4 linked regions of the Lonchura striata genome follow. The protein of the gene in region 2 interacts with the protein of the main gene of each other region in a biochemical or structural test. Links are inferred from orthologs where the notes say so. Each region holds a gene or a part of one and is shown on either strand. Other genes may lie near its edges. The genes, in order: UBE2W, MAPT, SRC and MAPK11.

Region 1 (7,538 bases), on a different chromosome or scaffold from region 2:
AGTCCTGGGATGGAAATGACATTTTGCCTGTTACTATTGAGAACTAAGATGAAAATTAAATACACTATTGATGAAAAACCTACGTAATCACTAAGGAATAAATCAACAATAAAATCTCAACAGCTAAAAGTTCTCTTGCATTTGAATTTAGTTTTAATAAGCTATTCTAATTTTTAGCTATGTGTGCAATGTATTACTTTTATATTCTTGATATAATATTCTATTGATTTGATTCTGCATCTTTAGTTGAAGGTATCTGCAGGTGCACCAAGCTTGTTTATACAAAGATCTTAATTCCACAGAGTTTTTAAACTCAGTGCCCTTCCTAAATTGGCAGGTAGGAGTAGAAGAAGCAGTTGGCACAATTCCCCTGAGGGGCAGGGAGTTCTCCATGCTCAGGAGATGCAGTCTCCTGGCACTGCAGATTACAAGTGTCATGCCACTCAAGTAATGAGGGGAGTTAACATCAATGTACAGTTTACTTCTGTGTAAGGAGACAAGATGAAAAGCTAAAAAGTACAGTGGACACAGGCAAAAGAAATTGATCTCTCGTGTCATTTTAGAACCAGGACTCATAAAGGAGATGGTAGTGACAGTTCAGTGTGTAGAAAAATTATACAGAAAAAATAAAAAGGGTGAGAACAGAGGGAAAAATGTTTGGTGATATTTGAAAACATTATGGACAACATGGGAATAGAATGTAAAATTACAGGGACCCTAATTAAGAATTATATTTTACTTCTTTGAAACTGTCTTGGTATATCAGAAAATTATCTAATAAATGCAGTTTGAACATTAGTTGCATTTTTCCTGTAAGTATAGGGTTTTGGAAACTTTGAAGAAAAATGGATTTTTAGGTCAACTTCAATAATATTTACCAAAAAAAAAATTAGTAGGAGGTACAATTTCATTATTTGCTCCATATGTTTTTGATATGTGAGTCATAATGTATTTGATCAGATCAGTGTAAGATAGCCTCTGAAATAATTAAGATAACAGATTAAATTTCTCTTACCCCATAAGCTTTGAATATTTGGGACCCAGAGCTCTGATCCTTGAAATCTCTGGCAAAACTTGGGTTGACTGGTGAAAGATCAGACTGCATTAGCTAAATACTAAAGCAATCCTTTTAAGAAACCAGTTATTGTGCTTTCCATCTCTATACCTGCAACAGATTAGGAAGGGTTAACTACAGAAATGTTTTCTTCTATGTTTTGCATAGGTAAAGGTCAAAACTGAAATGAAAACCAAATTACAATAACTTACTCCTAGTGAAATCTACCCTCTCTGGGAATTAGGGCCTTTCCTTAGTGGGATTACAGGATAATTTAAGATACTAATATTCATATATTCTTTCTGGGAGTCTGATAATAGTGTTTCTTTTCTTACTGTGCTTAGGGGACTGATTCCTTAATCCCTATAGCATTATGCATTGTACAAAAACATCTCTGCAAGCAAGGTTACCAGGAAATGAGGAAAGGGGGAAAACCCAATAAAACACAGGGATAATTCTCCAGATTCCCCTATTCCCACAACAACAAGGAGCTAAAAAAATATTTCACATATATATTAGGCATTTAATGACACTTTAAAAAAAAACAAGATGTGACAATGGTTATAAAAGACACCTTTGGTAGTCCTGTAAGAATAAACTCAAAGTGTATTTGGGGATGTGGGATTCTGCCCACGAGTTTCAACTGCAGCATAATGCTTTAATTACTTACATACTCACTTAAAATTGAGTAGGTAGTAATTAACTCATGCTCTATTTATATGCAGGGCAAACTAGCCCTTGCTTTTCATGCCTAGTATCCTCAGGAACAGGATCTGCAGCATAGATTAAGTAATCTCAGTAAAGAATACTTCAGTAAAAAACTTAGTAAGTAGCTTGTTTTTAATATTGAAAAGCTCTGATAGATAAAAAAGACTTATTGAGCATAAGGGCAGTTAAAAGCTGTGATTTACATTTTTTTTTTTTTTGCAAAGATGGCTTTTTATCCAGAGATACTTTTCCTTTATTACAGAGTAGAAATCATATTTGTACTGAATACAGTTTGCCTAAGACCACAAAGCTGATCTTTCCATGCAAAACCAGCTTGCAGTCTGTTAAGTGTTCTGGCATTCACAAGCTTATGCTGCTTTATATCTTCTGACCTTCAACAGGGTTTTCTGGAAGAGGCGTAAGAAACTGAGTATAATGGTTTGAAATCAGTTGTATCTTGCTGTGAGTACATCAAAACAGATAGTCAATATGTCCATGTTTATAACTGAACACATGTCCATTGCTTAAACTTGATGTTCTTGCTGTCTTTGTGGCATATGGCATTAAGAGATGTATTTTAGGATAAACATATGTTTCCATCATGCAAAACAACAACTAGTAACTGTTCCACTTAAGTGCTGTAACAGCCTAAGTTCATTCTGAAGAACTGCAGGAAAGAGAAGCCTTTACCAGCTCTATGTGTCTGCTTAATGCAACAAATCCTCTGCAACCTAAATGGTCTTGCAAAAATCATATAGTAATACATACTGACTTCCAGGGAAAACATGGCTGAGCAATGTCAGGTTGCATAGCATCAGGAGCCCATAATTTATAAATGAGAATTGGATTTGGAAGACAAGACAATGTATAGGATGCAATTTACATGACTATACTTTTCCCATCATTACTTTTGGTAGCCTAATTTCCTTTCCTACTCAAAAATCAACAAATAATGATTTGGTCTTCAGCATAATCTTGCAAAGCCATGGGGCTTGTTCACTTCTGCAGCTATCTCACAGGGTAAAGATACTCCTGCTGTCTTCTTCTGCTTAAAGGGTTCTGCCTTTTAAGCAAACCCCAAAGTTTGTATGCTTACTTTAACAGCGATGACAGTGTTGATACTGGATAAAAGTTGGAAACTGATGCTAAGTTGTGCTGGGGTTTTGTTTTTCCTCCAGTTACCCATTTTCAAAGTTAAGGATATTAAAAACTTACCAGAAGGTAAAGCTTGTACGTAAAGGTAGTACTTGCATCACACTAAATAATATGGTTGAACAAGGCAGACTGGCTTTTGGGTGCAGAACCCTTCTAGAGGTCTAAAATTAACGAAGATTTCAAAGGTAGTACAAACTGCAAACAATTGTTCAATAATTTGGTTTTTGCTTCTCAGTCCATCTCTGAAGAAAAAATCAGGGCTACCACTGGAGCAGAGGTGACCCAAGAATTTTTTAACATTGTCAGAAAAGGAGAGGGGTGAAGGGGCAGAGGAAGGGGCTTCAGTGTTTTTGGAATGTGCAGCATGAGCAGTGGGGAGACGGGGATTATAATGACCTCTAAAATCAGTTTCTCTATTAAATCCTTAGTTTTACATAACCACTGGGATTATAAATTTTATAGGTTGTTTTTGGATAAACATTTTGTAGGTTTATCTTGAGGATCTGTTAGGTCTGAAATACTCCAGCAGGAATAACAGCTTTACGAAGCGTGTTTCCACAAGTTGTTTAATTTATTGATTGCACACAGTCACTCTACTGAGTGCTGCCTGTTTATTTTCACCTACACAGGTACGGCAAAATCACCTGGTGCAAAGGACAGGGATTATTCCAGTCCAGGAAATGAAAACGTAGAACCCAGGAACGCTCCGACCTAAAGCACACCCACGTTCATTTGGAGTCATACACGAGCAGACAGCAGTGCAGGAGAGCCAGATGAGCTGTGGCACAGCAGCACCAGGGAGCGCACAGAAGGAGCGCGGCGCCGGCCCGGGGCGACCTGCGGCGGGGTCCAGTGACAGGACATGGAGTAATGGCACACACTGAAGGAAGAGGGATTTGGGTTAGGTATCGGGAGGAAATTCTTTACTGTGAGGGTGGTGAGGCACTGGAAGAAGAGGCTCGTGGATGCCCCATCCCGGGCAGCGTTCGAAGCCAGGCTGGAAGGGCTCTGAGCAGCCTGGCCTGGTGGGAGGTGTCCCTGCCTATGGCGGGGGTGTCGGATCTAGATGATCTTCTAAGTCCCTCCCCGCTCCTTAACATTCTATGGTCCTACGATTGTATGGCACTCGCACCAGGGAAAGCCCGGAGAAACCCACACGACGGGCGGGCGCAGTCCGAATTTAACCGAGTGACTTAAACACTGCACGTGGACCTCTAAAAACCTTCACAAACTGAAGCGGGCTGGGGATCAACCCCTTCCCGCCCCGCGGGTGGCGGTGATGGGCATCGCGCCGCTCCCGCAGGGCGAGCAGGGCACGGGCAGCGCCGGGGCAGCCTCCCCGGCGGCGGGACCGGCAGCTCGCAAACAAACACCGCCCGCCCGCGCCGCTCCCGCTCCTCGGGGCCGCCCGCGCCGCCCGCGCCCCTCCCGCTCCTCGGGGCCGCCCGCGCCCCGCCCGCGCCGCCCGCGCCGCCCGCGCCCCGCCCGCGCCCCGCCCGCGCCCCGCCCGCGCCCCGCCCGCGCCCCGCGCACGCGCGGCTGCCCAACGGGCGGGCACGGGCACGTGACCGGGGAGCGCGCGGGGCGGGGCCGGCCCGGCGGCGGCGCGGAGGGGAGGGGGAGGAGGCGGACCCATCATGGCGTCGATGCAGGTGAGGCGGCTGCGGCGGAGCCCGGGGCAGCGCCGGGGCCGGGCGGCGGCGCGGGGAGCCGGGAGCAGCCGTTCCGCCGGGTGTGTGCGTGCGCGGCGCGGCGCGGCGCGGCGCGGAGGGAGGAACCGCCCGGGCAGAGGTTGAGAGCGGCGAGGTCCCGGGCAGCGCGGCCGGGGAGGGCAGGTGGCGGCGGACGGGCCGGGATGGAGGCGAGGCGCGCAGAGGTGTGAGGGGCGAGGCCCGGACTCGGGCGGGGCGGGCGCGGGGGGAGGCAGCGGGCCCGGGGCGCGGGGGAAGAGGCGCCTCAGGGAGGCGTCAGGGGCGATGCCGCCGCTTCCTGGGCAGGCGAGGGAAGGGCGGAGGGATGCCGGCCCCCGGGACTTGGGAGGCCGCGGATTCGCTGGGCGCCGTGGGAACGTATGGCACCGTGCGGGCTGCGCGGTCAGCGGGGCCCTCCCCGTGTCGGCGTGGGACCGTGACCAACAGCCCTGAGCTCCTGCGATTCCCCCGCACGAGGGGGACTGGGACAGGCACGTCCTGCTCCAAGCCGCCTGCTGCCCGTGGGGTTCTCTTTCTCTCCGTAAAATGAGGTTGCGGTGTGGGGTCAGCTCTGGGGACAGGTACCGTCTGGCTTTCTCGGCCGGATGGTATTGCTGTAGGTACAGTAGGATGGAACATCCTGCTGCCTGACAGGTATTTCCAGCTGAATTATTCATTCATACCTACTCCGAAGGGGTTCTTAAACAGGGGCTGCAGAAATTTCTCTGGTAGAATGGATCGCTTTCACTGTGCTGCTTTCAGTGGGTAATGCTTTATTATGACTGGGGCAGGAGAAAAGAGCTCTAGGTTTTGTGGCAGTGGCCCCTTTCTCTCCTTATTTAACCAGTAACTTCTCTACTTTTTCTCGGATATTTATAGTTTTCCATTTTGTTTTTATATTTGAATCATCTAGATCTCATTTTGGTCCAGTACAGCTTACATTTTTTGTCACTAGTAATAGAACAGCATGGAAAGAGTGTATAAAATGAGTGAAATTTGTTTAATTTTCATAATAAGCTGGATTTAGCATAGCCAAAAAGGATTTAAATGTCAAATTATTGAACTGTATGGGATAAAAATTATTCTCCTGAAGTTTAGAAGCATAACTCCCCCTTCCTCCCCCCATTCCTTGGTGTGTCTTTCACAGTTACTGAAATGAAACGAGATCTAGAAATTGAACGTACTGTACAGAATGTTCTTTTAGCAGTAGCTTAGCAGGTAGTCTGATGTGCCTTGGTTTTATTAGCTCTATCTGTCAAATGCATTTTTGCAATGCTCTTCTTCTAATGTACAAACTTTTACAAGCTCAACTGCAAAATAGAGGCTGTAGTTTCTTAAGAAGTGTCCTTTAAAAAACCGTGTGAAAAGTAGGAAAATGGCAGCTGTGAACCGGGAAAGAGGCACGCTGTAAAGGGACTTGGCAGAGCTGTGCTGTGTTGCTGTCTCTGGCCTGGTAAATGACCTTCTACAGCGTGCCTCACCCTAATTCCTGTTGCTCCCTCTGTAAAGGGAGAAAAATGGTTACATATTAAATGAGGTTGTTGAGGATACAGGAATGACAAGTGTTGTCTAAACGTCAGATGTGTGGAGGGTAATACTCACTTCCTGAAATACACCCTGTTAAGTCTGATGTTGTAATTGCATTCATTTTAGAAATACCAGCTGTAAGATGGCACTTTTTGTTTTCTTACGTGATGTTCTGTTGTCTTTTGATAAGAGATTCAAGGACATTTATGGAGATTTTTTGTCTGTATGTTGCTAATTGCATAATGCTCTAATAAATTTCTGATGTTTAGTAATCTGCTAATTTAATAATGTAGTTTAGCATGTTGGAAAGGAGTTGTAAACTGGAAGCATAAATGCAAATTTAGTAAGTGAACTTACTAAATTTAGTAAGTTTATTGTAGACATGCTCCCAGATGACCAAGATTTCAAGACTGAATTCTGTCAATTAACATTTAAGTGTTCAGTGTAAAAAAATGTTTTACAAAGGAAACCAATATCTATAATTTTAAGTGGTTTTTTTTTTTTTTGGTCCAGAATCATTTATTATAATTACTGCTGTGTACTAAGTTACTTGACACAACAAAAAGATGTCATATTTCTGATTAAGTATAGTGTTTTTAAATACACAGTGTTTACCTGAAACGTTTGTGAAACTCATTGCCATCTCTGGCTCTGCTAGTGGTGTGACACTGTACTATTATGACAATATTATTTATTTTATTGATAAAAATGATACACTGGTGCACAAAGTAAGTTCTAATTGCTTCTTACACTGCTGTAATTTTATACAACAGTGTATGATGCCCCAAGTTAATTACATTTATTTTAACAGATTCACAGAAAAGTCTCAGATTAAGTTACAAGAGTTATCTGATTAGCCTGTTCTTAGTCAGTCTTCAGTGAAGCTTTGAAACTTGTAATAAATTGCCTCTTTGCTGATGGCTCTGAGCAGCAACCTGAACAGTTACTGCAGTTCAGTGGATGCACAGTAATTTGTGACTCTGAGTCTTTGTATGTATCATTAAACTTACAGTGATTTTTATCTGTGTGGACAATCTGTAATGGGAGTTTTCTGTAACCCTTTTTTTCCGTGACAGTAGAAGCCAATGCTTATGAGACCTTGTGTTTTGTTTTCTAACCACAGTGTTGTTGCTAATTTGCCACTGCTGGACTGGTTTAAACCTGGTTTGCATAACTTTAGGCAAATCATATTTTTTCTTAAAAAAAGCTAACACACCTTAGACAAGCCTTTAAAGGAAGAGCACTTATTTTCAAGAATTTTCCCAGAAAAAGCCCAAGCATGTGCTATGTTTTCCTGGATAAAAACACAGAAATATTCTGAAAAGGTACAAGTAATGTAGAACAAGGGAATAGAATGGATTTGCTTTAGAAAATTTTGATATAGCATCTTTAGTAATCTGAAG
Region 2 (7,973 bases):
CTGGCAAATCCCTGCCAAAGAGGCTTCTCTCCCCTCTCTGCAAAGAGCCTGCTGAGCACTCAGGGCAGCCTTTCAAACCGCTGCTGCTTCCTCTTCTGCTGCCACCTAAGCCCCTCTGCTCAGAGCCCTAATCTGGCTGAAGTTAGTGGACTTAGGGGCAGCCTGAGTTTTGCATCATGTTATGGAATGAGCTGGGTGATCTGGGGGGCAGCACCTCCCTGGCTGTGGGCACCCTGAAACGCCCTCCGAGAGCTCACGGGGAGGGCTGGGGTCTGCGCTGGCCTCGTGGGGTGAGCCTGGCCAGAAGTGAGGAGGAAATGAAGAAGAAAATCAAGGAAGGAAGATCCATTTCGTGCCTGGAGATGCTGCAGGAGGGAATGGAGCTGCTCAGGTTTCGGGTGAGGTGAAGGTGGAGCAGGTCACAGTTGTTTTATTTGGGCACAGTTATTTTATCTTGCAGACAAACGCACTCCCCACTCCTGCAGCTCAGGCCGTGGGCTGGGGTTTTGTGCTGGATAATCTGGTCTCTAATTGCTGCCCTGCTCCGAGGCAGCTGCTGAACTGGGCCTAAGCTGATTTGGGATGGCAAATTCTGTTAGTTTAATTCTCAGCAACCCTGAGGAACTTAGCAGGATGCAAGTGAGTGTTCCTTGGGTTTTCTCTGGCCGGGAGCCTGCTCTGGAGATCCCCGTGGTGTCCCCTGGCCGTGGGCAGGTTCTGCAGGGTCTGAGAGGGACTCTGAGGAATGGATGTCCAGCGTGAGTGATGAGACTCCTGTGCCCCAAAAGCTGCTCTGCTCTGAGCCCAAACCCATCTCATGTCTCTCTGAACAGTGTCCAGCTCTTGGGGAAAGGGGCAAAAGTTTAGACCTTCAAGGAGTTACTTAAACTATAATAAATATAGGAAAATCATAAAAAGAAAAAAGGAAGCATGCATTTTGGAGGCAGTTTCTTTTGCAACTCTGTCCTATTGCTCCAAGAGGCATTTATCTGTCTTTGAACCTCAAAGAAGTTTTCTGTCCTCTTGACTAGATAGCCTGAAATTCCATGTAATTTCTCAGCTCGCTGCATATTAGTGCCTGCAATTAATGAGATCATCGTCCATATTCCTTCCTCTGTCAACTTCTGGGAAAAACACTACTTGGAGAAGTACACAAAGGAGATGAAAAGGAAGTTGCTCATGAATTATGAAGAGCCTTTCAGGCTGATGTTGTTTCACGGTGCTGTCACTCTGTTTTAATTATGCAATTCAGATGGAATGATGCTTTTTTAAAGCCCTGGTTGTGTTTGATCACCTTTCAGAGGTAACACTTAGCTCGTGTTTGTTGAATTTTCATTTTTAACAACAAGAGCGAGTGCTTTGTGCCCTTTCTGATTAAATAACGGGGAAGGAAGATGCTGAGCAGGAGACAATAGCCAGGAGGCTTGGGAGTTACCTGGGTGATCATTTGGGTATTTTGGGGTTATCCTGTGGCTGGCATGAAGGGTGGAGCTGCTCGGTTGGGCTCGCTGGGTCCCAAACCCAGCCAGCATCTCTGCAGGCCTGCACTGTCCTGCTGCAGTGTTCCTTTTTGTGTTTGCTGCCAAGGCCGGGTTTATTTTGGGCTGGGCTGTGTAAATCGAGCCTCTGCTCCAGCCTTGTGACCCCGGGCTGGTCCCTGCTCTGCTCCCGGGGCCGTGCCCGCCGTGCCCCACTCGGAGCCTGGCACGGAGGGCTGGGGGAGGCTGTTCCAGATGTCTGGCACAGGTTACACATCTGGGTGCTCCCAGCTCTGCCCTCTGCCCCTGCCCTCCGTGGGGCACCTTGCTCTCAGCTGGGCTGCACCTGGGGTTTATCTCCCTTCCACTGCAGAGAAACTTTTGGCCAAAGGTGTGCGAGTTTGGGCTGCCTGCCTTAGCGTGGGCTCGGAGCCCTGCCGGGCAGAGGGTGCTGGGGGCTTTCTGTGGGGTTTTTTGGGTTCCCAGGGGCTGCAGGGTGGTGGCTCTGCTGTGCTGCTGGGCTGTTCTGGCTGTGCCCAGTCCTGGTGCCTCTTTGGTGGCCGGGCAGGAATCGCTGCTGCAGACTGGACGTGGGGCTGGGGACGAAGAGCAGCTCTGGGGTGACCTTGTGTGGCCTTCCAGCATCTGCAGAAAATGGGAAACACTGGGAAATACTTCCAAGGACCTGCAGCGACGGGACAGGGGAATGGATTCCAACTGAGAGAGGAGGTTTGGAGTAGATATTAGGAGGATGCTCTTCCCTGGGAGGGCGGGCAGGCCCTGGCACAGCTGCCCTGGATCCCTGGCAGTGCCCAAGGCCAGGCTGGATGGGGCTTGTCCCAACTTTCTGGGACAGTGGGAGGCGTTGCTGCCACGGCAGGGTGGCACTGGATGGGCTTTGAGGTCCCTCCCAACACCAGGAGGGCTTCAGGTCTGGAAAACGAGAGGTTTGGAGGAGCTGTTAATGATGGGATAGGCTGTTGCTTTTTAGATAGTGTCCCTGGTTAAGGAGAATAGTTCTGCTGGGGATGGATAAGGTTCTTTGGGGGGTTTGTGCTTTATCTGCCATGCAGAGGGTGCTGTTCAAGTTTATCTCTGTGCAGCTTTCTTTGCTCTAATTATGCATCACTGAGCCACTGCTTAAAGGCGGGGCTGGTTTTACACTTTTAAGCATATTTTAGAATTTTTTTTTTCCCCTTGATGTTATGTTTTTCTCTGAGAGGGATTTCCCCTTCCCCCACTCAAAAGGAAAAACAAAGAGGATTACCATTATGGACTTCTTTCAGAATTTTCATTCCATCCTTGAGAATTCGAATCTAGAATCTGTCATTTTAATAAGATTTAAATTCTCTTTGGTCACATGAATTCATGACCTGAGTGAAAACCCAAGGCCAAGCTGAGGCTTTCCTCCCTCCCTGTCTCTTGGCTCTGGTGCCAGGTGGTTTTGTTCCCCACCAGGGCACTCGTGGAGCAGCAGGAGGACGCTGTGCTCCATCTGCTGGGAGATGTTTCTGCTCTCCAGAGCGATCCAGGGTCCCCTGAGTGTCTCAGTGATGGACCTCCATGTTTTGGCCGTGCTTTTTTCCCTGTAAGAGGAAGGCAGCTCTTCCTCTCTGTCTCTGAAAAATTGATGGCTGCATCCCCCCGAGCCCCCCGAGCTGCATCGTGCGGTGCCATGGGGGGGTGGGGGCTGGCCCTGCCTGTCCCTGGGCAGCACGGGCAGGGCACAGCACCCCAGTGCTCTGCACAGCCCTGGCCCTTCCTTCGTGCTGGAGAGCCTGGCACTGGCTGGCAGTGCAGGCAGGTGAGCAGCAGCCCTGCCCGCAGCAGCCTCTGCTGAACCCAGCACTGCTGCAGCGCAGGGGCTGCAGCGCTGCATCCTGGAGAAATGCAGGGACTACCCCAGGCTGCATCCTGGAGAAATGCAGGGACTACCCCAGGCTGCATCCCGGAGAAATGCAGGGACTACCCCAGGCTGCATCCTGGAGAAATGCAGGGACTTCCCCAGGCTGCATCCTGGAGAAATGCAGGGACTTTCCCAGGCTGCATCCTGGAGAAATGCAGGGACTACCCCAGGCTGCATCCCGGAGAAATGCAGGGACTACCCCAGGCTGCAGCCCTGCATGCCCGGAGAAATGCAGGGACTTTCCCAGGCTGCAGCCCTGCATGCCCAGAGAAATGCAGGGACTTTCCCAGGCTGCATCCTGGAGAAATGCAGGGACTTCCCCAGGCTGCAGCCCTGCATGCCCGGAGAAATGCAAGGCCTGACGTAATCAATATGACCCTTTGAGCACTAGGAGGAAGGCAGCCATATGTCCAAATAATTAGGGCCCACTAATTAGAGCAAAAATTAGGTATTTAATTCTTTCTTATTTTATACCTCCATTTTTGTGGGTGATTTCATTCCAGTGCAAGCTCTCCAGCCTCCTTGGTTCTCCAGTGCTGTCAAATGGCTTTGTAGCTGTCTAAGGCAGTAATTAAATTGCAGAGTCATCTTGCTAAGGCTTAAAAAAAGCTGGCTGAGAGATCTGGTTACTGGCCCTGGAGTTTCTCTTGTGTGGTTCCATACATCCAGTTAATTTATTGCCAGCACACAAAACCACAAGTTTCCTCCTTGCTGCTGGTAACCTGAGCTCCACTGCTGGATTCAGCGGGCCCTGAGGGTCACGGCAAGCATGTGATCACACTAAAAGCTGATTATTAATCACTGCCAATGGCTGTAATCATACCAGCTCTTAGGAAGGCAGCTGAAAGCACTGTCTGTCCACCCGGCGCGGAGCAGGGGCAGGTAATGGTTGTTGGAGACTTCATTTCCTCTCGCAGATCAAGGCAGTTCGCAGAATCAGCTGGGAGGTTTGGCACCTTTCTGCTCCCACCCCAGACCTGTTTGCTTGGCTCTGTGCTGTGGTGAGGCTCTCTGAGCCTGCAGGAAGGGTTTGGGGTTAAAGCAGGGGCTGTGCTGTCCCCTCTCAGCCACAGCTGAGCGAGACCCTCTCCTCTGAGAGTCCAAAATCCATCTGTGGATAGGCCTGGTGTCCCCCCTCTGCCGCTTTCGGATGGCTTTGAAGATGTGTGTCCCTGCTGGGTGTCTCCACAGGGAGGGGAGGATCCCTTCCCACAGCAGCATCACACCTCCCCAGCAAATGCATCTCTTGGGGGACTGGTTAAACTGGGAAATGCAGAGTTTGGAGCACCAGGAGCCAGTCAGCACAGCCTGCTGCTCGCAGGGAGCTCCTGGGGTGAAGCTGTGTCAGGGCAGTGTCCTGGGTGCACCAGGGTGCTCTTTTTCCTTGGGACATCTTAAACACCCGTGGAATTTCAGTGCAGCTGGCAGGAGGTGCCTCTGTGTTTGTTGTGAGGGATGCAGTGACTGGCACATGCTTTTGCCTGTGCAGGAATGGCCAGACCTTCCCTTTGCTGCTGCTGTGACAGGTTTTGCCTAATGGGTGTTAGTTTTTACTCTCCTTTCCAGGTACCTTTGCTGAGAGGTGGCAGAGCAGCCTCAGGACACCACCATGATGGAGGATCACGCACCTGGCCAGGAAAAGCACTTCTCATCAGGTGAGCACGTCCAGGACGGGGTGGAGGACCTGCCTGGGCCCCTGCTGAGGCAGGGGGAGAGGCAGAGCAGCCAGGGGTGCTGGTGGTGCCAGGGCTCCTGGCAGGGACACTGTGGTCAGCTGGCTGCAGCCAGGGCACCACGGGGAGCCCACGGGGTGCTCCACGTGCACGGTGGCAGCGAAATGCTGCTCGTGGATCTCGCTGCCCACTGAGCAGAAGAACCCCAGACCAGGGGCGATCCCACTGCTGCAGCTTTGCAAGTGTGTGTTTGTGTTCACTCCTCAGTTTGCTAAGAAAGCACAGCACTTCTTTTTATTTGGGGTCACAGCTCGAGGGTGCTGCTTGCTGCCTGCCTTCCTCACCTGCACAGGGACCTGGGGAGAACTGAACAGAGAGCTCTGGGCGTGGGGGCCATGCTAGAGTCTTCCTCACCATATTTCAGACCTGCATTTCTTCAGAAGCTTTTCCTTTCTCATTCCACCGTGCTCCACAGCTGAGCTTGGAAACCCGCACCGCCCAGCAGACCTGGGGGGACTCACTCCTGGCTGTGCTCCATATAAACATCATCTTAATTTCCTTTTCTTGAGGTGCTTTGGACACCTCTTCAAGCAGATAAATGGATGGCCTCTGTCCTGGAGAGAATCCAGAGCATCCATTCATCCAGTAGCGCATTGCGGTCCGGCAGCTCCTCTCAGCTTGTGAAACATCACAGGTTCTCAGGGATCTCACTTCTTCTTTTCCAAATCAGTTTTTCCAGCTCTCATTATTTGATTTGCCTGCACCCTTGCTGAGAGGAGACTTGTGCCTCTTGCCCTGCTCTTCCAGAAGACTTTTGCCACGGTTTCTTGGCACAGAATGCTGTCCTGCAGCAGCCCCGTCACAAACACGGGCTGGTTTGCAGTCCTGGGAGTGCTCAGCCTGCTCTGGGAGGGAGAGGACAACAGGGGCTCAGAAGCTGCACATCTTTCCTCCTTACGTTGCCGAGATCTCCTTGCCTGCTTGTGCCATGCTTTGCTGTTTCTGCCTGCCCGGTTCACTGGGCTTTTCTTTTGCTGGTGGGTTTCCATTTGTTCCTTTCGGCGCTCACACTGGTGCTTTTGGTTGGCATTTCCACGCTTTGCTTGCTCTTGGCTCAGGTGGTTTTACTCTCCAGCTGCAGCTTCTTGCAGCTGTGGATCACAGCTGGTAACCCCCAGGCCCCAGCTCTTAGCCAAGGACCTGTTGTAAGTATGTGAATGTTTTCCAGGCTATCCCCTTCAGATACCAGTCGATGATGGATCGGATGAGCCTGTTTCTGAAACATCTGACGCTAAGAGCACCCCAACTACGGAAGGTGGGAGCTCTTTGACTTTCTGCTTTGGGACCATGCTGGACGGGGTCGTGGTAAACCTCGCCACAGACTCCCCGTGCCGTGTCCTGGGGGTTTCTCAGGAGGAGAACCCCTTTGTTAGTCTCATCACTAGTGGTGTTGGCTGTGCTGCAGAATGAGATAATGAGCCCCAGAGGTGCAGAGTGGGCTGCAAAGCAGGAAAGGTGAATTGTTCCTTGCAGCTCAGGAAGCTGCTGGTGGTTTGCTTCCTGCAGCCTTTACAGGGGCACTGCAGGGCCCTGGCAGAGCAGCCAGGAGCTGCTGTGTTGAGTGGCACAGGTTTGTGTCTGTGCTCCCCAGGTCCTGACTGCCTCGTGGGTAGAAAGGCTCTAACTCCAGAGTGGTCTAGAGACTTGTTCACTGTTGTAATTACCTTCACTTTTTGCCTTCCTCTGGCTGCTTTAATCCCAGGAATCTGCCTTTGGAGACTTGAGGTAGAGGCTTTAGCTTGCAAAATTGTTCTGAAAGGAAGGAAGGGTGGGCAGAGATGCTGAGCAGTCCCAGCCCTGTCCCGCTGGAGGTGTGGGCTGAGCGATTGTCAGGAAAGTGCCTCAAGAAATCAGGACATAAAACCTGTCTGGTGCAGGAGGGGATTTTGTCCTGCTTTCCAGCCGGGCTGGGGCTGCAGGATGAGCAGCCACCCCTCTGGTAGGTGGAGCTGGGTGTCCCTGCGTCCCAGAGCACGGTGCAGCCACTTGGGGTGCTCCGTGCAGCTCCAGGGGAGCTGCTGCGTGCTGCTCCACAGCAGCCGTGTCCCCGTGCAGGATTTAGTGGTGGATTTTTGGGCAGAAGCGTAGGGAGCGTTGTGTGGCAGGGGCCAGCTCGTGGTGTCCCTGTGGCTCTGGCTTTGGAGCCGTGCTTGGCCGTGAGGGAGCCGAGGGCTTCTCCGGGCAGGAAGTTCTCCAGGCCTGCAGAGGGCTTTGCCTCCCAGCAGCTGTGTGAAAGCCGTGTTGTTTTGCAGATGCCACAGCACCTTTAGTGGAGGAAGGAGACCACGAGGATCAGGGTGGTGCGGAACAGCACGGGGAGATCCCAGAAGGAACCACAGGTGAGGGAGACCAAGGTGCAGCTTCATCTCTTGCTGCAGACAGAGCAGAGAGCTGGACTGGTCGGTGTTGTGAGGCAACACCACGAAACCTCTCGCAGGGACGCTGCTCCCAGCCCTGCTTCCTTCTTCTCTGGAGAATTCCTCTCTCAGAGCTGTCCTCTTGCCTTCCCCGTCCTGGGGGGAACTCGCAGCCTTTTCTTCTCTCTTTCTCTGCTCCACACCTGACCATCCTTCTGTCTGGTGTCTCTGTGGTGGCTTTGGCTCCCACCTCCAGGCTCCTCTCTGCAGATCCGGGTCCTTCCCGTGCCAGCAGCCCCTGGGTGCCTCCTGCAGCCCCTGGGTGCCTCCTGCAGCCCCCGGGCTCTGCCCAGCCCTGGCGGTGTCTTTGGAGTGGCAGGTGGAAACCAGGCCACTGCAGCAGTGCTTTTAAGGGTGATGCAGAGCCAGTGAAGTGACTAATTCAGCCTGAATGCCCTGTGGGCAGCCACTGCACCTGGGCCTGGTTTTCCAGGGAAGG
Region 3 (7,789 bases), on a different chromosome or scaffold from region 2:
CCAGACGTTTCCTGCTGTTATTTGTGCCTCAGCTCTGGCTGCACGGGCAGGATCCATGCTGGGGCTGTGCTGCTGGTGGGGAGCTTGTGGGGTGGCATCCCTCTGGCTCCCTGAGGGCAGCTCTTGCCCAACACTGCAGCTGCAGGGCTGTGTGCAGGAGAGGGTCCTCATGGCTGTGGTTCCACAGAGCAGCTGCTTGTGATGCTGTGGTGGCTCCTTTGGTGAAGCAGATATCCCCCAGTGTCAGGCCTGGGCAGGAGGAGCAGATTTTGAGAAAAGCTGCAAGCAGTTCTCATCCCTACCTCCCCCCTCACTTAACTTGTTTTAAACTGAGCTGGGATCCAAACATCACATGGTTTAAGTTTTCCAGATTCAGACTGTGGCCTCCTTCGCCCATCCCTCGCTCCAAGGACCAAGACTGGATGATTAAGGGGAAACACCCTGGTGTCTGCTCCTGCTCTGCCTGCTCAGGCTGCAGGCAGGCCAGCAAGCAGCCGGGTGCTGGCAGGGAGGGAACATCCCAGCCCTGGGGCAGGGTCTCCTGGAGGTGGCTACCAGAGCTCTGCACCAACCAGCTGTCCCCTATTGCTCTGCTACCAAATCAAGCCAGAAGCAGGGCAATAAATCTCGTCTGCATGAGCTTCCCTGAGTTTTTCTGAATTGCCCTTGTCTATGGATACTAGACTGGCCAAAAAGCAGAATTTCCATGCTGGGAGATGCCAACATCTTGTGTGTGGCTTTCATGCTGAGCTGAGGCAAGAAGCAAAACGAGTCAGATTTTTGCCCAAACGAGCTTTTCCAAGATACTTAATTCAGATTGTACCAAAGCATATTTTATCAGTCATAAACCTGACAGGAAATGTTGTGCCTTTATTGACCATGCAGATAATTTCAGCCCACAGCTGTTGAACTCAGTGCCTCCTTATTAAATATTTGCATGTCACCGAGTCAGTGGTTTCCCCTGCAGCCCTTTCCCCCAGGGAATTTTGCAATGACACTTCCTGACAGGAGCTAAGGGCCCCTTTTGCATAGCAGATTGTCACCACGATGGGGGACACAACAGGTCCTGAGTCCTCCTGGTAATTTCTTCTCAGATAAACCTTTTTCCTATAACCTGCAAGATGCTGCTCGGCTCCTGCAGCTCTGATGCTCAGTGTGGGAGAGAATGGCCAAAATGAGCATTTCTAGCATGAAATATTGCCAAATGGCTCGTGCTGCAGGGTTATTCTGGTCAATCCCCCTTACTAAATCAGCTCCTGAGCTTGAAACTGCAGCTTCCCTAACAGGGCTGATGGTGCTGATCATTTCCCATCTCACACCACTATTTGCAGGGCTGTAAAGCTCAATGATCATAAAATCTCAGGGCAAGAGCCACGGCTGCCTCTCTCTCAGGCCAGCATCTCAAACACAACCATTACATTACTAATAGTAATAATTCCTGCAACTGTATTTGCAATTTGCAGTGAACAAAGTGCAGCCTCAGGAACAGAATCCAATAGACAAAACTTATTCACGCGTGCCAAGGGGATGCTTAAAAATAAAGCTGGCTGGAGATGAATAGATGTTTTGTTGTAAATCTGCAGTTACGTTAGGGAGCTCAGGGCTCAGATCAAATACTGGACACAACGAGCACCCTCTTACCTCACAGGAGGATTTTAGGAGCCCTGTGGAGCAGTTTGATCTGCACACCTGGAAGGGAAGGAGCCACGTACTTACTTACTTACTCATGAGCATGACAGCATCTGCCCACAGTAACTCTCATTCTTCTTGTTGCTGATGAAACTCGTGTAAAGGTCAGCAAGAAAACACAGAAATACCTGAGCATGTCTTAATTTCTTTTTCAAGTATCATTTCAAGACGTCCTGTAATAATCGAGCCACTGGAAATACTTGGTGCTACTTTTTGTTCAGATTGAAAGTACCTGGTTTTCAGTTTCTATAACCCGCTTCCTCTCTCTGGGGTGGGTTTTATCAGCGCTATTTAAAAGTGAAGAATCATATCAAGAAAATAAGTTTCGGACAAGAGACTGAAATCCCTGGTTGGGTGAAAAAAGCATCAATTTGCATTAGACTGCTTAAAGATAAGTATTTGGAGAGAGGCAGGAGGCAAAGGGAAGTGGGTGGCCAGGGGATATCAGGCTCCAGACCTCATGTCCGAGCCAGGAGTGTCCTGAGGTGAGCTGTGTTGCTTAAATGGTCTTAAATCACACTATCACCAGCAATTCGTGTTTAATGTCAGCCTTGTGAGGGCACATTCCAGCATTTGAGACCAAAAGATAAGAGTCTGGGTTTAGACAGTGTCTGTTTGTAATTTTGGATTTTCACATTGGCATCATCTTAGAGGAAGAAGAAGAGGTTGTGTCGTGGACTTGGTCTGGCTGTTGAAAGGCACAGCGCTGTGGGTGTTTGCCTTCCAGCCATGGGCCGGCACCGCCAGAGATGGGAACTCCGATTGGGAGGACAGCCTGGAGAAAAGAAGTTGATTGCAAAAGAGAAAAACAAAATACAAATATTTATAAGTCACAATTGCATCTTAGATTTGGGTCTGGATCCAGCAGAGGCTGAGTCATCCTCACCGGCTCGCCCGGGGCTGGAGCACCCGCGGGGTGCTCTCCCCTCCGGCAGAGCTCCGGGCTGGAGTGGGTGCTCCTGCCGTGGGGAGGGACAGGGGAGTGTCCCCGTGTCCCTGTGCGGCGCAGCAGGGTGAAGGTGACCCCCTCTTTCCCCCACGTTACAAGCAGAGCAGTTCCCTGACTGCCCCACAGCACGGGGTGAATCCATCGCAGAGCGGATGAGGAATCCTCCCCTCCACAGCTGAACAGCAGAGGGGCTGGGCTGAGAATTAACACCCCCGAGCCCCGGAACCAAGCGGGCTGCGGTGGGATGCTCCGGCACGGAGCAGGCAGGGCTGCCACCCCCCCGGAGCACACACGCCACGGGTGTCCGGGGAGCCCGGGCGGCCTCGCCCAGCCCTGGGACGGAGCCGAGAGGGAAAGCGGCTCCTGCCCGGCTGGAGGGACCTTATCGGCGCCAGCTCCTCCCAGGGAAGGGCCCCTCGCAATGCGCTGGCCACGGGTGATGGATCGGCGCGTGCATGACTCCTTGTTCCTGGTGACTCATGGATTCGCTGGCCTTCGCCAGTGTCATGGGAAATATTTTTTTAATAACTCAAAAGGCGGAGGGGGAGTGGGAAACAGAAATTTAAAAAAAAAAAAAACATCACCACCATAGTTCTTTAAAAGTTTTTAACTTCCCAATTTGTTTCTGAAATGTCGGATCTTCCTCAGAGGAAGGAGGGTTTTCAGAAAACCCCCGCGGAGTGGCTGCAGGGTTGGTCGGAGGGGTGGGCAAGGATGGCAGAGGTGGTGCTGGCTGTGGAAATACAAGGGTCGCTGCAGCCGGCCAGCAGCCGAGCGTGCCGCATAAAAGACCTAAATGTATGTGGGTTTAAGGAGTGGACTGCTTCACCCCCTTTCTTCCTGGAGGGTAACGTGACAGGGAACACTTCAATGGATCGCCGGTGGCTGAGGTGGGAGGGCTGCCAGCGCCGCTGAGCTGGTCGGGCAGCCCCGACGGGCTGGGTGCAGGCATCGGGGCACCCGGCTGAGCCCTGAGCCCGTGTGTGCACCCCGGAGACAGGGCAAAGCTGGGCATTTCCCACCTCCTGCTGCTGAGGAGCAAGGGGAACGACGGGTGGAACTGTTCCCGCGTGCCCACCTGCCTGAGTGGAACTCGGGGACACACACACCTGAGGGGGTGATGCTGCCAGCTGGAGAGTGCCCTCCCCAGGAACACCCGCAGCTCCGTTCTGCCTTGTTTTGGATCCGGCACCGGCTTCAGGGGCGACCGGGGCTGGGAGATGTTAACCCCTAAACCCATGGACGCCCCAGCGGAGCACAGACACCGCTGCGTGCCCGTGCTGCCTCCAAAGGGCCCCACAAAGTTCCCCGGGTTCCCAGGGAGGCCCAGGACGTGGTTTATCTTTGCCCGCTTTTCCATCTGAAGTTTTGCCTCCTTCCGACTTCAGAGAAGGGGGAACGTGGGTTGCAGCCCTCTGGGAAGCCGAGGTGTCCCTCCTGGGGATGGGGAGGAACACAACCTGACAAAACAGCATTTCCCCTGCAATTCGCCGTGTGTTAGAGCTGTTGAATAAAGCGAACCGCAACCCAGCCAGGAGGTTTCAGCCTCCTGAAAATCACTTTTGTGTTACCAGCTCCTGCTTCCAGGTAACACGCCGAGCCAGCCCGCCGGGACGAGCAGCGCTGGGCTCGGGTGGGAGCACCCCCAGCCCCTCACCCGCGGGGGGACGCGCCCTGAGGACCGCGGCCGCCGCTCCCACGCGTGTCCCCGGCGCAGCCAGGCGGTTCCCCCGCCGCGGGCCGGGACGCGCCGGCAGCGCCGGCGGCGGGGGCGGCCCCTGGCCCGTGCGCGCCCCGCGGAGCCCGGCTGCCCGGAGCCTTCTCCCTGGAAAAAAAAAAAAGCCACGGAGGGAGGGGAGGGGCTGCTGCTGCCTTTCCCCCCATCCTCCGTTTCCGGTTTGCTGCCATATTACTCTTTTATTTTTTTTATTTTTTTTTTATTTTCCCCTCCCCGTGGTGCTGCCCCCCGCCCCGCAGACGGGGTGAGCGGGGGCGGGCGAGGCACCAGCGCGCCGGGGCCGCGGCGCTGCGCGATGCTGCTGCCGGCGGCGCAGCGCTGAGCCCGGCCCGGCGCGGGGCGGCGCGGGCACCGAGCGCGGCGGCGGCGGCGGCGGCGGCGGCGGGGGGCGGCGGCCGCGCCCCCGGCGCGGAGACAAAGCCGGGGCCGAGCGCTGGAGGCGAGCGGCGGGGCGGCCCCGTCCGCGGCCAGGCGGAGGTGAGCGGCGGCGGGGCTGCCCAGCTCGGGGGCAGGCGGCGGGGTCCGGCGGGGGGTGCCTGGGTCCGGCCGTGGATCCGGCGGGGGATGCCCAGGGTCTGCCCGTGGATGTCCGCAGTGGGGAGCGGCGGGGCGGCGGGGCGATGCCCGCAATGGGATGCCCGCAGAGCAGTCCGGCGGGTCGGCGGGGAATTGCCCGCGGTGGCGCGGCTGTGGGTCCGATCGGGGATGCTGGCACTTCGGCAAGGAGGCGGTGGGTCCAGCCGAGCCTGCCCAGGCTGCCGTGGGGCAGCTGTGGGTCCGGCAGCGTGGGATACGCTGCCTGCGGATCCCCGCAAGGATGCTGGCGGTCTGGCGCCGGGTGTCAGTGGGGCGGCTGTGGGTCCAGCGGGATGCACATGGTGTGGTGGGTCAGCCGTGGGTCCGGCTGGGGGTGGCACTGCCTGGCGGGGCAGAGCTGGGGGCGCGGGGGTCCGGCGGGGCGGCCCCGCCTGCCTGCAACTCCCCTTTGTTGTGCTCGGGGGCTGTGGGGGACCCCCGGGAGCGCAGGGCGGGGACAGCTGGGCTGTATGTAGGCCAGGACATGAAATATTCATCGCCCCCCTGCTTTGATGTCTCGTGATCCGCTTCCCTTGTTGTGTTTGTTCACCGGTGATTCTGGGGCCAGTGTCCAGCCCTGGTGGACCTGGCAAGTCGTGCCCCTCCTGTGCCCCTCGCTGTGCCCCTCGCTGTGCCCCTCCTGTGCCCGCCTGGCTCAGTTGCTGGGGGGCTGCAGAGCTCTGGTTTCTCCGATTTAAGACTTCATCCAGTCGGGAAGTTCCTCGTTGCAGCCTGGGCAATCCGGCCCCCATGCGTGGCTGCAAGTGGTGGCAGTGGTGTGTTCCCACTGTCACAGCCCCCAGTGCCATGGAAGAGCACCGTGGGCTTTGCCCTGAGCCACACTGGGGTCAGGATGAGGTTTTATCCTGCTCACTGCCCAGAGAGGCTGTGCTGCATCCTGGGGCCACTTGGGATGGACACAGGAGGCAACCTGCAGGGATGGAACTGCTGCACAGGGCTATGTGCACGGGGACAGGTGTGGTAGGGGGCTGGCATCTTGTGGCACTGATCCTGGCATGGTCCTCTCTGGTGTCGGGCATCATGTCAGGGAGCAGAGCAGTCTCGTGTGAGACCTGCTGGACTGAGTGGGGATCTGCTCCACCTCCCTGTGCCCTGCACAGTGCACTCTCCTCTGGCATTTCCTCACCCCAGTGGCTGCTGTGGTGTGCCAGGGCTCAGCCCTGGACTTGGTGCCAGGAGGTGACTGTGGTCCTGGTCCCAGTCCCAGAGATGTTGAGCAGCAGTAAAGGTTGTAGGTGGCAGGGAGCAGGTTGTGCTTCCCTGTGTGTGCCATGGCCCATCCTCTGGCTCCCCAGAAGTGACGCAATGGAAGGGACATGATGTGACATGCAGCCAGGTGTCCCACAAGACAGGGGCATTAGGAGCTGGGGGCAGTGGAGGGTGCAGAGCACAGGGTTCCCTGAGGTGAGCTCCTGCCTGTGCAGCACAGAACATATCCAGCAGTGCTCTATGAAACTGCATGAAGGCAGTAACAAAAGACTTGATTTTTCTTTCTCCTGCCCATCTGGTGCTCCCAGAGGAGGAGGTGCTGGGGGTCTTTGTTGCTCTCCTCTCAGCCAAGGAGATACCCACTGCCAGCATGACCAGTGCAAGAACCGAGTCGTGACGAACCTTCCCAAGATCCAGCCATTAGTGATGGGAATCCTTTTGTCCCTGCTAGACTTGGAGATGCCCCTCAGAATCCAGTGGCTCAATGTGAGCCCAGGTCCCCCGTGCAGCAAGTGTTGGTCAGACAGTCACAGGGCTGCCCAGGAAGGTGTGAGGAAGGGGATATGGAGGATGACATCAGCAATATTGCACTTTAAAGAAATATCCTTTCTGTTATTTTTACTGTTGGGCTGCTCTAGACACCTTTGCCATAGAGCTTACCTGTGCTAAGCCATCAGCTTCAGCTGGCTCCAGATCCACCCAGAGCAAAACCGTGGCACTCGGTGTCTGAGCCGAGGCTTGTGTGCTGTGTCTCTGTAATCATTAGCCAGTTAATGCTGATATATCACGAAGGAACACCTTTGCTTAGGAGACGAGGGTCAATTCTCACTTCCAAGCTTTGACCTGGGAGCAGCAGGGCAGGGGCTCCTCTAAACACCTCCTGGCTTCACCAAAACAGCCCAAGACAGGATTATTTATGGGCTACACAGCAGCAGCAGCAAAGGGAAGTCCAATGTTCCCTGTCTCGATCGTTAGTGGCCTTGCAGTGCTCCCTGTGTGATGGAGATGCCCTAATGATAGCTCTGCCCTTTAATGACTTTGTGCCAGAGTGATGGAAAATCAGGGAGGTTCCGAGGGGAGGCAGAAAGGGCCATCCCAGCCCCTGGCTGGGGAGCAGGGGATGAGACGAGGAGAACGCTGCGGTGACCAACCAGTGTGGTGGCTCTGCTGCAAAGACAAGAGGGTCCTCTTCTGTCTTGGTGGCATGGAGGGGACATCAGCTATCCTGAGACAAGGTTGGCCTTTAGCAGCACGGGCAGGTCCTGCAAACCAGCATCATTTCACTGGACTCACTGAGGCAAGCAGGGGATGGACCATGGGACTCTCACGTCTTCAAAATCCCATCTGTCTCTCCCTGTTACTGGTGTGGGATCCTGCCCGGCCTTTGAAGTCATCACAGAGCTAAACTCTTATCTAATGAGACCTGAAGGACTTGGTCTCCAGCCTCTCATTTAAACAACCAGCAAACGCCTGTAAGATCTTGAAAGAGAAGAGGTAGGAGCAAGCAAACAGCTTGCACCTCCTCCCAGCATGTCTAAGCAGGGCATCCCTGGGACAAAGCACTGGACTCCTGGCACGGCTGTGGGAAATTGGAAAGCCTATCTGAA
Region 4 (7,360 bases), on a different chromosome or scaffold from region 2:
TTTCAGGTAAAGGACACTGATTTTTTTTTTTGGTCAGAATTACATTTTTAACAGGATATTATAAAATATTTCCCACCTTGCATCCACAGCAGTATGATAGGCATATGTGAAAAATTGTTATCAATGTCTGCAAACAATAAACATAGCTAGTGCAAGTGTTATTACAATCACAGAGATATCTAGTGGCCATCCTAATTCCACAGAGAAAGAATGTGGAAAGAAAGGAAGCGAAGCCTGAGCTCTGAACTCAAGCCATATTAGAATCTCTCTTCTCAGAAAGAATAGAAACCTATTCTTGCCATATAATTACTAGGATTTAACCCAGATTTTAAAGTCCTCAATCAATAGCAGGATTTCTCATTTGACTTCACACCTCATTATAGGTATGAAATGCCTTGGACTTTGAACTTGAGGTTCAAAATGAGTAACTAAATTTTAACTGTTTTCTCCAATGCAAGACCCTTCATGTTCTCTTAAGATAAAAAAAATGCTTTTCCAGTTTAAATATCTAAGACCTAACAGGACAAAATAGTCTCAGGCTGGAGCAGGTCATCTGAATCAACTTGGGTGCTATGAAGCCTTCCAAAGAGGCATTTGGCAACAGTGAGTTAATAGCAGAAATACGAAAGAGAATTTCATGGGCAACAAGTGTCTTGTGATTCAGCCACAAAGATACATGGTCCCTGGCAAAGCAATCTTATGGAAACCAATGTGTTTGGAGTAGGTAATGATTGACTTGCTATTTACTAAGGGCTTCATTTAGCCTTTCCTGATGTCTGTACTTTGTCTTTCAGGCATTACAAACAGTGGCAGCTTTCCTATGTTATAATTATATATTTGTAGATGTAGTTTCAGAAATTCACAAGAGCCTGCAAATAAAACCAATAAATAAATAATAAAAATATTAAAAATATAAAAATTAACAAAAATATAATAAAAATAAATCTTTCTTTTATGAAGATGTTACATATACCCTACATTTTCAAAAGAAAGGAAGCACCTTCACAGCATTACTATGTTTAGTTTACTGTTATTAACTTCAGGTGAAATCCATTAATGGACATCCCCCAAATACAAAGTTAAGTACGTAACAGATATAGCAAAAAACCACGGCGGTTCATCGTAAAACCTCAGTAATACTTGGTAGATTTTTAGTTAGAACTATCCTATATTCACAGCAATTGTATTGAGAATGGTCTGACCTCTGATCTGCAGTCTGTTCTATGTTTTTCAAAGTCTTTTTAAAATCAGTGCTGAGTTTACAGTAATATTATGATGTTTTCCACTAGGAAATTTTATGTTTTCAGTACTAAGTTGGCATTTTCTTTCATTGAGTTTTCACGTTTATTGTTAGTATGAAAATCACAATCTTTGAACTCCATTATATATTAAATTTGAAAATTCTAAATGGAATATAAAAACAGAACGAGAGACAGAGAATAAATGATAATTGAAAGGAGCCTGGAGGAGGGTAGGAAAGATGTGCAAGCTTTCTGCAATACATCAAACAAAGAATGTAGGGAAAATCATAGAATAGACTGAGTTGGAAGGGACCCATCAGGATCATCAAGTCCAACTCAAAAAAATAGGAATTAGGAACAACTGGAAATTAGTAACTCACAACTGGCCAAAATAATAAATTCCTTTGTTTTCACTGAGGTTTATTCTAATGAGAGTAATGTAGGGTTTGAGTATGCAGTGGGAGAAGAGCCCCAAGAAAGTTAGTGCTCTGCCAGCAAGTTTTCTTCCTTTGGTACCTGCTAGATTTGCTGTGTGTCTGAGGGACTGCATCCCACCCTGCCCGGGGACACAGCCTCTGCATGCCTGAATCCAGGGCTCCCTCACCAGCCAGAGGATCACACAGCTGATCCCACCCCACAAATTGCCTGGGTGCCTCAGCTTCCCCACTGCAGCACATGGGTGCCCCTCCCAGCCCTGTGCCCTATGTGAAGGGCAGTGATTCTCACTGCCCACTGCACTTCAGCCATCAGCCCTTGCCCTGGTGAGGATGCCGTCAGGGCAAGGAGGGGAGGGTGTGCAGTGTCCACAGTAGTTTCACGGGCTCTCCCTGTCCGTGGGAGTCCCAACACAGCTTCAGGCTCAGTTTTATGTAACAGACATTTCACAGACATTGAAAGTTCCTAAGAAGGCAACGTATGTACAGAAGCTGTGACCTTATCTTTTCTTCATGCCTTCACACCTCCTGTAAAACTGCAACTAAAAGAGAAGAATCCAGCTGACAAGGGAGCTGTCTCTGCCTCTTCCTCTTCCTTCACAGAGATGGCAAAGATGGATGAGCTGATTCTGCCATGGGAAAGGCAGCTGTCAGAGCTTGCTTTATGGGAGGCTTCTGGAGGCCTGGAACCTACCTAACTCTGAGACAACTCACAGTCTTTGCATCTTGATGTTTTCCATTATCTCCCTCATTAAACACAGTAGAAGACCATATACGTAGCATCAAATAAAACGATATCAAGCACAGTCTAAGAGTCATGACTGCAACACAAATAACTGACAGAAAGTGACAGAGAGAGAAAATTGAGACCAACTGTAAACATTTACCAATATTAACCAATAGTATTAAAAATAAATTCCTGTGGAAATTGCACAATTAAAAGCTTGGATAGACATGTACAGATGCAACTTCCAAAAATCATGGCTACAGTTAGAAAGAAATAATTTAATACACCAAAACACCCCTAGAGACAAAGTACAATAAAAGTCAAGAAGTAGGAGTATTTGTTCCATTTTAGCAATGGAAAACATTTGGGGCCACTTACTTTAAGAGCAAGTAGGACTGGGGATGGCAGTGACAGAAACATTTCTTCTTGGCTTGGTGAAGTGTCACTGCACTGTTACTCTGTTTTTAAAACTCCATAGAGTGGTGCTCAGAAAAATAAGATAAATTAATGTATTGTTGGATTTTTTTACACTTTTCACTTTCTTCAAGCACTATGCCCTCAGCATAGAAATTCAAGCGGGACCAAGAAGCAGTCTGGAGAGAACTGGAGAGGTCTGCACTGTAGGGGGTTAGAAGTGAGAACTAGACTATTGCTTTAGGAGCACTTAGTACTTTTTGAGTGGATGGCTGCAGATAAATGGCTACAGTAGTACCATTTGTGTATTTTTTTTATTTGAAATGCACCCAGCAAATGCCAAGTTGCTGGTGCTGTTCACTTGAACAGTCCTAGTATGGAAGCCTTGTCATGCAACATGGGCTGAGGTTTCAGAGCTGGAACTTGAACCATCCGGTGTTTGGAGCACCCATAACACTTGTCTTCTGTCTCATCATGCTCACAACTATTGAAGCATACGTGTTCTCTACACTAACATTATGTCCTAGCACAAACTGAACACCAATTTGCCAAAGCAAACCCTCCATAGTATATGAGGGTCCTGAAAAGCAAGGATTTATATTCCACAGTGATTAAAAGGCAGTGTAAGGCAATCCCAGTACAGTGAATCTATGCAAACAGGCTATGTACAAGTTACTTACAGATGATCAAAGAAGCATAAGAAGCCATAGAAAGAAACAATACATAAAGAAATAAACTGGTAGCATTGCAGTAGTGCTGCAATGATTTTGGAGCTCATCAAGATATTGTATAAGGTATTTTGGAGAGACTAAAACACACAGTAAAAAAGTCAGAGAACCTTTAACTGGTGCATGAATTTTGGACTTTTAGAGCTTTCAGGATTATCGGTTGTCTTGAGGGCTCGAGTCTTACTTGATGAAGAGGACTCAGATGATTGCATGCGGGAGTCAATGCGGTAAGGGGAAATTTTAGGTACCAGAGGACTCCGAGAAAACCCCCGACCTGCCCGGGGCTCCATCAGTGAGCGGGGGGGCCGCACTGGCGCAGGGTCACCGCCGCTGGTGCTGCAGCTCCAGCCGGGGAAGGGGGGATCCTGGCGGGCCCAGAAGGAACTTCAGGTGGCCGTAGCAAAGTAAGAAAGGTGTCAGCAAGGCTTTAGAAAGCCTGAGACACCAGGCGAAGGGCGGGATGGCCGGGTCCGCCCGTCCCCGCGGGGAGCAGAGGCGGCGGCGCGGGCGCTTCCCGCACATTCGGGCAGGGGCGGCCGATGCGGCGAGGCCGCCGCTCCGGTCCGTCACCGCCCCGGCTGCGATGCTCCGGGGCGGGATCGCCGCTTCGCCACTCCCCGCAACCCCCTGGGCGGCCCCGCGGAAAGACACCGGGAGCCGCCCCGGGAATCCTAGCCCCTTCGTCAATCCCCCTCCTCATCCCCACCCGGGTTCCCCCGGCCCTGGCCGCTGCCCCCACCCCTTCGGCCTCCGCCTTCCCCTCCCCTTCCCCTCCCGGTCCCTCCTCCCCGCCGGCGCCGGCCGTGCAGCCTCGACTGAGGGGCGGCTGCTGCTGCTGCTGCTGCCGCTGCTGCCGGCGGCTCCGCGAAAATGTCCGAGCGCGGCGGCTTCTACCGGCAGGAGCTCAACAAGACGGTGTGGGAGGTGCCCCAGCGCTACCAGAACCTCACCCCCGTCGGCTCCGGCGCCTACGGTTCCGTCTGGTAGGTGCGGGGCGGCGGCAGAGGGGCCGGGAGCCGGCAGGTGCAGGCGGCGGGCGGCGAGGACAATGCGGGGCAGGCGGGAGCCCCGGCGCCGCGCCGAGGGTGGTGTGCGGGCAGCGGCGGGGCCGGCGGCGGCAGCGGGGCGGGGGCGTGTCCGCCGGGCACCGGCGTGAGCGGCGCCGGAGCTCCCGCCCCGCTGCCCCGGCCGGCGGCCCCGCGGGGCCGGGCATGCCGCGCTGTCACCCGGGCAACCGCGCCCGCCGCCCGGGGCGCCCCTGCCCGCCCTCCGGCCGCTGCCCCGGGCCGACCCCCGAGCTCCGCTCCGCGCCGCCGCCGGGCCGCTCCCCGGGCCGGCAGCTCCGAGTGACCGCCCGCCGCGGGGCCGCTGCCGGCTGGTGCTGCTCCCGCCGGAGGGAGAGTTGCCCCGAAGCCGGGAATCCTGCACAGTCATGGCGGTTCCGAGCGGGGAGGACGGGCTGCGGCAGGGCTGTCCGAGCGGGGTCCGCCGCTGGCCGGGAGGGATCCCCGGCGGCCGCGGCCCTTCCAGCCGGGGCTGGAGCGGGACATCCGCGGCGGGGAGCGCTCTCCCTGTCCGCCGAGACAATGGGAGCAGCCCCCGGCGGGCAGGCTGAGGGGGAGGACGGGGTGCTCACCCGGTGCTTTCGGGGCGGGAGTCGCAAATTAGGACAGATTGCCTCCCAAGGGCTTCGGCGTCTTCAGGATTTAGAAGGGTTTGCCACATGTTGTCATAGAGCGTTTATCTTTCTTTGATAATTCTTACGTCAGCCTTGCACTCTCGGGAACTCCCAGTGAAGGCTGGGCTGTTACTTTAGTATTTGATGCACACTTTACTATGCTTATAAAAGCTTTGAGTCAATTTTCGGAAATAATAGTGGCGTTTAAGGGGTTTTGAGAAAGAGTCGTGTTTCTTTTGTAAGCTGGGCGAGTGGAAATATGTAAAACAATCCGTAAAGGGCCTTTAAATGCAAGTACTACTTTAAATAAAAATACTAAAAAAAATTATTTAAAACTTTGGGTTTTGCCATGCTCTAAGCTCATGCAGTAGTTCTCACTTTTTCTAGTCAGATACCAGAGAACATTTATGGAGTTTTGTATTAGTTACTTCATTCTCTAGCTCTGTAAAATGTCCAAGTTTGCACATAAACTAGGAACATGCATTTTTAAAAAACCTTCAACTATCAGCAGAAACACTCAGAACTGGTGTGAAGTATCTTTGGATTCTTATCTTTTTTTATTATTTCTAATTTATGCTTGCACCAGGGAGGTCTAGGCCAATACCATGTGAGTGTCATACCTGGCATTGTAGTTAGCATGTGCTAACTATTCCGAGCAGATGCTGGGAATAGTTCCACAACGACTAAATTTATTTACACTATAAAAATCTTAGTTTGTGAAAGAGGAGAAAGTAAACTAAAAGCCTGGATGGATATACAGTAGCAGAGTAACTACTTCTGTGTTCCAATTGAAACTGAATTTCTGGTTACTTTCCCTATTTATGCTGACATAGTTTTGAGGGAAAGACCTACTTTACTGAATTTTATAATGAGATGTCAAGACTTTTGAGAAATTGCAAACGAAGTGAAAACATGTCGTGGTTCACTTGCAGCACAGCTGGTGCTTTGGTTTTTGAAACTGCACAGCCAAGGAAATCCTAGTAATTTTTATCAATTGCAAAGCCTAGGATATGAAGATGTAAAATGGAAACTGGAACATGCTATGAGAAAGGTTTACTCTAAAATAGACATTTAAAAATAGAATATAGCAATAAAACATTGCTCTATATTAATAGCCTTGTTAACATCAATGAAGTATAAACCCAAACAGAAGCTTGAATATGAGGAAAAGGTATGCATCTCTCTGAGAAAAGCCATCTATTTTTAGAGTCTATTGAAATTGATTTTTTTTTCTGTCTGTGTGCATATGCTTTACCCAAGAGACCTACGAGATGCAGCCATTCCCTTGAGTAATATGCTATATTGCTTCTGTGAATAGTTGTACTCCTATTCAGTAAAATATCTAAAAACATATCCAAGTCTTACAGAAACTACTAGAATTAAACAAATTCTTAAGTGCTTTAATGAATAGCAGCCAAGGTCCTGAACTCCAAACGCTGGCTTTGAAATGAGAAGAGAGTTGTTGTAACAAATTTTTTCTACCTCAGTGAAACTCTTCTCTAGGCCTACCCTTTTCTTTTTTCACAGTAAATTATTTGTCATAGCCCGTAGACTTGGATAACTGAATTGATAACTGATAATAAGAAACATACTGTAAATACTTGCATTTAAGCATCTTTTGCTGGCAGCTCAAAACCAGTAGAGCAGTTTGTGTCAGGAGGCTGTGTTTTGGCCCAATTTTTTGGCATTTCATGTGTCCAGTAGAATTTGTGTTTGAGTTAGTTGCGGATGCATCAAATATGCTATGGAGACAGATACTACTGGTTTAAAACAGATGATTCACTTGTAGAGATATATCTGTACCAAGCACAGTGCATTCCTGTTTGGTGGTTTTTTTGTTTTTTATTTAGATGTGGAATAGGTATTAGGTATAAACCCAAATCATCCTTTGTATAAAGAGCTCTACTTCTTTTGTCAGTATTTTAATGACATATTACAAAGAACATTTGGTTTTTTGCAGCTGCACTGCAAAGTGGAGTTGCACCTTAGCATCTAGGTGAATCACAGAGAGAACTGTGAGGTCTTTCCCTCAAGCAGTTAATCCTTGAACTACTTTTTATGTTACTCTTGTGCTTTAGCTCTGTGCAAGACTTTCTTTTGCCTGAACTTTTCCCTATGGCCATTCAAGCTCCTGTATG

Evidence for each region.
Region 1: the proteins of MAPT (region 2) and UBE2W are reported together in a solved structure, tested with the Homo sapiens proteins (2 studies listed by BioGRID, with this or other methods). The link is inferred for Lonchura striata from reciprocal best matches to the Homo sapiens genes MAPT and UBE2W.
Region 3: the proteins of MAPT (region 2) and SRC form a complex in vitro, tested with the Homo sapiens proteins (3 studies listed by BioGRID and IntAct, with this or other methods). The link is inferred for Lonchura striata from reciprocal best matches to the Homo sapiens genes MAPT and SRC.
Region 4: of the proteins of MAPT (region 2) and MAPK11, one has a biochemical effect on the other in vitro, tested with the Homo sapiens proteins (2 studies listed by BioGRID). The link is inferred for Lonchura striata from reciprocal best matches to the Homo sapiens genes MAPT and MAPK11.

Annotation. Positions count from the first base shown.
Region 1 is NC_134603.1:32,205,216-32,212,753, forward strand, and holds the start of UBE2W (ubiquitin-conjugating enzyme E2 W), read left to right. Parts: upstream 1-4,526; 5' UTR 4,527-4,554; coding exon 4,555-4,569; intron 4,570-7,538. UniProt on the Homo sapiens protein: Accepts ubiquitin from the E1 complex and catalyzes its covalent attachment to other proteins.
Region 2 is NC_134627.1:8,748,511-8,756,483, forward strand, and holds the start of MAPT (microtubule-associated protein tau), read left to right. Parts: upstream 1-4,972; 5' UTR 4,973-4,993; coding exon 4,994-5,039; intron 5,040-6,285; coding exon 6,286-6,372; intron 6,373-7,369; coding exon 7,370-7,456; intron 7,457-7,973. UniProt on the Homo sapiens protein: Promotes microtubule assembly and stability, and might be involved in the establishment and maintenance of neuronal polarity.
Region 3 is NC_134619.1:9,505,577-9,513,365, reverse strand, and holds the start of SRC (proto-oncogene tyrosine-protein kinase Src), read left to right. Parts: upstream 1-4,776; 5' UTR 4,777-4,853; intron 4,854-7,789. UniProt on the Homo sapiens protein: Non-receptor protein tyrosine kinase which is activated following engagement of many different classes of cellular receptors including immune response receptors, integrins and other adhesion receptors, receptor protein tyrosine kinases, G protein-coupled receptors as well as cytokine receptors.
Region 4 is NC_134607.1:30,045,257-30,052,616, reverse strand, and holds the start of MAPK11 (mitogen-activated protein kinase 11), read left to right. Parts: upstream 1-4,348; 5' UTR 4,349-4,414; coding exon 4,415-4,527; intron 4,528-7,360. UniProt on the Homo sapiens protein: Serine/threonine kinase which acts as an essential component of the MAP kinase signal transduction pathway.